2 linked regions of the Oryzias latipes genome follow. The protein of the gene in region 1 interacts with the protein of each later gene in a biochemical or structural test. Links are inferred from orthologs where the notes say so. Each region holds a gene or a part of one and is shown in the gene's direction. Other genes may lie near its edges.

The links.
Region 2: the proteins of protein argonaute-2 (region 1) and dicer1 form a complex in vitro, tested with the Homo sapiens proteins (2 studies listed by BioGRID and IntAct). The link is inferred for Oryzias latipes from reciprocal best matches to the Homo sapiens genes AGO2 and DICER1.

The regions. Positions count from the first base shown.
Region 1 is NC_019869.2:10,709,207-10,712,860, forward strand, and holds part of protein argonaute-2, read left to right. Parts: intron 1-800; coding exon 801-985; intron 986-1,591; coding exon 1,592-1,751; intron 1,752-1,884; coding exon 1,885-1,975; intron 1,976-2,234; coding exon 2,235-2,429; intron 2,430-3,654.
Region 2 is NC_019880.2:4,303,598-4,307,251, reverse strand, and holds part of dicer1 (endoribonuclease Dicer), read left to right. Parts: intron 1-2,513; 5' UTR 2,514-2,594; coding exon 2,595-2,708; intron 2,709-2,791; coding exon 2,792-2,954; intron 2,955-3,022; coding exon 3,023-3,153; intron 3,154-3,654. UniProt on the Homo sapiens protein: Double-stranded RNA (dsRNA) endoribonuclease playing a central role in short dsRNA-mediated post-transcriptional gene silencing.

The DNA.
Region 1 (3,654 bases):
CAAAAGTCATGTTTGTGTCCCACCAAACTGGTTTGATGAAAATCCACTCATAAACACGATTGGAGCATGTGTGGTCGAGATGATGTGGTGCACTTTAAGCTCCAACACTCGAAGATGTGAATGCGGAACAATATGGAGCAAAAGTTACTGCTATACGTTTTAAAAAGAATAATTAAAACTTTCAAAATGAGATTAAAAAAAATTTTTTCTCAAAATATTCTGCAGCCGGATTTGAAATGCACAAAGCTCAAAATCTTTGTTTTATCGGAGATTTCTGAAACAAATCCCAAAACTCTGGAGCTTTAAGAAAAGTCCTGTTAGTCAGTTTTTGCTTGTGCATCCAGTCCAGTTCTGTCTGTGAGGCTTTGTGGGAGTGGGAGTGCTTGTAGGATTTGTGTAGCTGATTCTCACAGTGCACTGATTGGTAATGACCCTTTAATCCCTTGACGCCTATTGATGCAAATATGGATCAAGATACTGATAATAAGGATACTTCGGCTCCAAATCTACTTTAATCGAGCATTTGCATGAAAGCAAAATTATTTTTTATTTTTTCCATAGCAGGACATTAATTCAGGCATCAAGGGGTTTATTTATTTTATGTAGTCTTAAGTTATGGAAATCTTTAAAATTTTAAATTAACAACAAAAAAAACAAGAAGAGTTTTTGAGGTTAAAACGCTCAAGTTTTTGTTGACAGTAAATGTTTTTCTTTGCTGGACGAGGTAGATTCTCATTTGAAGCTTAACGGAGTCCAAAGGCTTTTTAAATATTGAACCATTTTCTGTCTTTATTCCTCAGAGCTTTTACTGATCAGCTAAGGAAGATCTCTCGCGATGCTGGGATGCCCATCCAAGGTCAGCCATGCTTCTGCAAGTACGCCCAGGGAGCAGACAGCGTGGAGCCCATGTTCAGACACCTCAAGTACACTTACCAGGGACTTCAGCTGGTGGTGGTCATCCTCCCTGGAAAGACACCCGTCTATGGTAAGTTAAAGTCCCGCTTATCTGTTCCCTGCATTTGATCCATCCCCTGGGGGAGCAGTGAGCCCCAGACAGAACCATTTGTTGGTTAAACCCCCCAATCCAACTCTTTTAATGCTGAATGTGGTGCAGGGAGGCATTGGGTCCCATCTTTTAGAGGAGAATTGAACTCACGACCCTCCAGTCTCAGAGCGAACTCTCTTCACTCCCACTGAGTTGGACATGGATGCAATTTTCTTACATCCGGTTTTGTGTAAGATTATAACGATGCATAATTGGTCAAAGGTAGATTTGTATTTTAAAAAGATCAGGTTTTTTTTATTAATGTAACTGTTCAGTTCAACATGAAAGAGAAGATTTGTGGTTAAAAGTAATGTTATGGATTTAAAGTGGTAGAATTCCCCATGGAAAAATATATATTTTTTAACTTACTGGAATTAACAAGCTAAAATGAGTTAATATTAGTTTAAATGGACTATGATGTAAAAAGAAAAGGTGGAGCCCCTCATGGTGTGTGTCTTTCTAAAGGGATCATTAAACAGGTGTACACTAATTATGATGCAAAAAAAAAGTATTCCTTACATCTTTCTGACGTTGTGTATTTCCTAGCTGAGGTGAAGCGTGTCGGGGATACAGTACTTGGAATGGCGACTCAGTGTGTGCAGGTCAAAAATGTGCAGAAGACCACACCCCAGACTCTCTCCAACCTCTGCTTGAAGATCAATGTCAAGCTGGGTGGAGTCAACAACATCCTCCTCCCTCAGGGCAGGTAAAGTGACGACTCATTTTAACTCGTTCCTCAGTAAAATGTGTATTTTGCCTTTTGTTCTTACTCTTTTGAGGCTTAAAAATACTCCATGCTGTGTTTTAATGTTTGGAGCTTTTGCCTCCTCCGTTTCCAGGCCCATGGTTTTCCAGCAGCCTGTGATTTTCCTGGGTTCAGATGTGACTCATCCCCCTGCTGGAGATGGAAAGAAACCTTCCATTGCTGCTGTGGGTGACATTCAAATTCATCTTTTACTAATTTACTAGATCATGTAAATGTCACTGCTATTATTAGTTTTTCCCTTTCATAATTATGTCCAAAATGACTGTTGCTCCAAGGTGACCAGTAGTTTGCTCCTGCTTGACCAACTATAATTGTACAGCAGCTTTGAAAGCGTATTTATTGAAGTTGTTGTCTGTAGTTCCATGAATAATCTACAGTACACTGCTTAAATTGACGTTTAAAGCTTATTTTCCTGCTCTGTAGGTGGTTGGTAGCATGGATGCTCATCCCAGTCGATACTGTGCCACAGTGCGAGTGCAGCAGCACCGCCAAGATATCATCCAAGACCTGGCCAACATGGTGAGGGAGCTGCTGATCCAGTTCTACAAGTCCACACGCTTCAAGCCCACTCGGATCATTTACTATCGAGATGGCATCTCTGAGGGCCAGTTCAACCAGGTAATGCTTGTAAAGGATTGACCATAAAACTTTGAATTTTGTGTCTTAGGGCTGGGCGATAAATTGATTTTATTGATTTTTTCAAATTTGTTGTTATGGACGATTTATTTTTGGGAAAATCCAGATTTTCTTTTCCCAAAAATCCTCTGGCAGCCGTGTCTCAAATGAAGACCAGTACAAGTAATAATTACAACGCAGTATTCTTTATTAACAAATAACAGTAACAACTAACTATCTAACTAATGAACTAACTGTATAGGCGTGCCTCGCTAAAGTGAGTGAGAGCCTTTGACTGCGATGGGCTTTAGGCAAATGTTGCAGCGTGGGGGGGCACAGATGTTGCTGCCACACGTCTGTGGCAGCAAACTAACCAGTTCCAAGCAACAGATGATTTTATTCCTTTCTTGGGAACAAACGTTCCACTCTCACCGCTAGCCATGTTGTCGCTTGCTGTTTTCTGGTGGTATGATGTTGTTTGTCGCTGGCCATACCGCTGTGTGAAACTAACGCTACGGAAGCTCTGGGGAGCCAAAAATGCGCCATTACACAAAACTCAATTTAGTTATTTTTGAAATCGCCCGTAACAAAAAATTTGAAGTAATTCATTCAATCAATTTTTTCTACCCAGGCCTAACTTAAAGCAAATTTTGCTTTTATTTAATGAAACGGAAGACAAATGTAACCTCCATTTCTGGGATGAATAGTAAATAAATGAACACACTCTTGGAATCAAAGTCCCAGCTGTATTTTCAGTCACACTTTGTAGTCTAGACTAAAAGTAGACAAACATTCACCTTGAGAGTAGCAGCATTTTCTAAAGGATTAACAATACAGCTCATATCTGGGGTCTAAGGTTTTAATTAAATTAACAAACCCCAACTTCTCCCCGGTATACATGGGTACCATGTCTTTGGCTGTATGCAAAGCAACCGCTTTGGTGATTGTTCTCCACCGTGCCCCTTTCCTAGGGATGGGTACCGAGCCCCGGTATTAAACGAGCCCCGGGGCAAAATTCTTCAAGATCTGACGTCAACGGTTCTGCTTAGTAAATCTGTCCTTTAAATTTGAGTTTACAGTTAGATGACATTAAAGAGGTGTCTGTACCCTTTGTAATTTACTTTTAATTAAGCAACAACTTTCCCTTCTCGTCAGACTGACACCCCTCTACTCATGGGGTACAGGGGGTACATTTTTTTTATTTTTCAGCTGTGCTGAAGAGAAGAAA
Region 2 (3,654 bases), on another chromosome or scaffold:
ACCCACGGACTGGTACCGGTAAATGTGTGCATTTTCTGCAATTTCAACACTTTAAAAGTACAAGAAATATGTGGATTCTTTTTAATAACATTGTTATGCTGTTGCTAGTAAATGATGAGTATTTCTTAGCATTAATGTGACTTCTGGTGCTGCATGGTGGTTTTGCTGATGGTCTAGTCTGGTTGATACATCGTGAGTTTCAGTTTCCTGCAGGCGTTGAGACTTCCATCCGTTTAACGTCATGGTAGGATGGTCTTAATGTTCTTCAGATGTGAGAAAGACTACTCACGGGAGCCCGCAGCTGCAGGAACGGCAATTCGCAGGTTCCCGGCTGGTAAAAACTCTGTGAAATAATAGTAAACTGATCTTGGCACAGATTTTTTTTCTTTCTCCAAGCACTGGTACTACTGCGCACCCCTCTGGCATCGCATCGCACCCGAGAAGGACTGGTATAGTGAAAAAAGTTTTTTATAATTACAGATTTGTCTGCGAGCCAGATGTGGCCGTCAAAAGCGCCATATATGGCTCGCAAGCGATAGGTTCCCGACCCCTGGTTTAGATGTTTTTATTAAGTCAAATCCAATAGGGTTTCAAAGTATTGGTACAAAAGTTGATATGTTGGTTGCTTTTTTTTAAGCAAAAGAATTGCCTTTATTTATTTTTTTGATAAAATAAATTTTGTTGAATGACAAGTGGAGGATTTTTAATTTCTTAAAACATTTTTTCAAGATTGGAGCCATAAAAGTATCAGAGAATCCAGAGTTACATTTTAAATGTGAGGAAAAACCAAGACCCCGAGCTGGCTTACATCAGCAGCAACTTCATCACTGGCCACAGCATCAGATTGTTTAATCTTTTCTGTTGTTATAAAGTCGAGTTATGGGATCCAGACTTAAACGTTTTTTTTAAATGTCACTAAACTAAGTAACTGAGTATCTTCAACAACTTTGCTGTTAGACTCGTGCAAAAACAGCTGAACTTGAGGGCGCGTTCAGACCGGACACATTTGATTCGCTTTGAGTGAACTAGAGTTTGTTTCCCCTGATGATCCAGATCAACATTTCAGTCTAAATACACCCTGGTCCGACTCCAGGACCGCTCTCCGACCCATCTTTGGGGGTGGTCTCGGTTTGTTTCCAATTGGACTGGGCTTCGGTTCGCTCTGAGATTCCTCAGTCCAAATTCAATCTGTCCTCGGAGCGGAACAACTAAAACGGCCACCATGACCAGTGGTCATGTGATGTAAACACAGTAGGAATGTACCAACCGATGAGGCGTAGACAAATGTAAAATAATGAAAGGCCCCAACTCCTTACTAGTTAGAACGTTTATTTTAACACAGCTGAAAACGCCTCTTACATTCTTTCCCATCTCTCATTACGTGGCATGCGCTTGGCGCTGCTGTGATGTCACCCTAAAAGCTACCTTGAAGTTTCCTTAATAGAACCACAACCATGAAACACAACTCATTAAAATGTGTGATCGGATGAATGCAGGCTCATCAAAACATCCTTTGACGTGACACACATTGCTTCTCACTGTTTTCCAGACAATCTATATGTCATGTAGTTGTAGAGTTAGATAAGTTAATTCTTCTCTGAGTTCTGGTACAACGCCTGTCCGTCCTGGGGGAGGACCCCTCCTTCATGCGGACACCCCTGAGGTTTCTTTGGGTTTTTTTTCGGAATCTGTTTTTTTAAGGAGTTTTTCCTTACAGAGAAGGAGGGTCTAAGGCAGGGATGCCAGTTTAGTGTAGTCTGTTTAGTTAAAGTTTAGTATTCTCCCATTGAATTCTATGCATTTATAATCCTTTTTGATTGCATGTTTACCTTACAATTACTGGTACACAGCCCATTGAGACGACTGTTGTTGTGAATTTGGGCTATACAAATAAAATTGAATTGAATTACCTGTCGTCTGCTCATCACTACAGTTGCTAGCATCCTCTGAGCTAAAGCTCACACGGCACACGGTTACTGTTTACCAGTAACCGCCTTACAGCATGCCTCCCTGTACCAAAGTAAGAAGTAAAAAGTGGTCAAAACTGATGTTCAAAACTAAAATATAAAGTTTAACTGTCCCGAAAAGGATTGTAAAGCGCAGCACGCCCGTCTTTCATTTGTTTTGACTCGCCCTCGTAGTTCCTGGCCAATCACTGAATAGATCTTAAGTCATGTGGTTTTGTGTGTAAGCTTTGGTCCGTAACAGAATGGGTCGCTTGATGCCGGTCTGAATACAGACCAAACGCAAGGATCGGGACTTGATCCGTAAGGATTTTCCAGTCTGAATACACCTTAAAAAAATCTCAATCTTTAATGATAAGCAATCCTTAAGCTTGAAATTGTTTGCAGTGACAAATATTGTTCATCTTTAATAACTTATATTTTGGAATGCACCTACTAAACAACCTTTTAGTAAAATCAGCACTTAAACAGATGCAACAGGAAAACCAACAAACAAACGGAAGTTGTTTTTTTACACCAAAAAATTGAGTTTGTCGTTTCTGCTGACAGTGAACCGGATAAAGGAAGGAGGATGAAATGAGATAAGAGGACGACTGGAGGAGCACAGCCCCTTCACCTCCCCTCTAAAGCATGGCGGGTCTGCAGCTCATCACCCCTGCCACATCACCCATGGGGCCCTTTTTCGGTCTCCCGTGGCAGCAGGAGGCCATCCATGACAACATCTACACACCCAGGAAATATCAGGCAAGGCGGGCGGCGCCGCCGCATGGACCAGCTCTGTGGTGCGAATGCTCGTCATGTGACACCGTTTGCTCTGTGCTTCTTAGGTAGAACTTCTTGAAGCAGCTCTTGAGCACAACACCATCGTCTGCTTGAACACTGGCTCAGGGAAGACTTTTATTGCAGTGCTGCTCACAAAAGAGCTCTCCCATCAAATCCGGGGAAGCTACCAAGAAAATGCCAGAAGGACGGTTTTCCTGGCAAACGCAAGTAGGTGCAGAACATCAGAGGTCTGGAATGTTTGCATGAAAACGTTGACGTGGGTCTGTGTGCTGCAGCCTCGTCTGCGGTCCAGCAAGCAGCTGCAGTCAGGACGCACTCTGACCTCCATGTGGGGGAGTATAGTGACCCGCAGGAGGCCACGACGTGGAGCCGCCAGCGCTGGAGTCGGGAGATCGCAGACAATCAGGTTTTTCTTTTCTGTTCTGTTGGTGAAAACCAGTTGCGAGGGTTCATGTGTCTCCTGATTAGGCCTGCACAATATACCGCAAATTTATCGTTATCGCAATATCCAGCTCTGCAATATGCATATCGCAAAAGACGGCGAATATCGCAATAAATCGCAAACCCAAAATGTGTTAAAACAATCTTCTAGCAGCTTGAAGCATTTAACGGATCAAATAAATCCCTTTATGCTTTGACCAATCAGATGGACGCCTTCCCAGTGTTGACCAATCAGATGGAGGCCTATAATGTTAACCCTGGTCCTGAAGAGCCTTAACCCTGCCTGTTTTCCAGCTCTCCTTAACCAGCTTGCTGTTGATTGGCTGACTCAAGTGATTTCACATCCTGATTGACGGAACACACCGGATTTTGGTTATCATTATCGAGCAGTCTAGGGAGAATTGGAAAACAGACAGGGTTGAGGCTCTTGAGGACCAGGGTTAGCCACCCTGACGTTTGTCCCCCA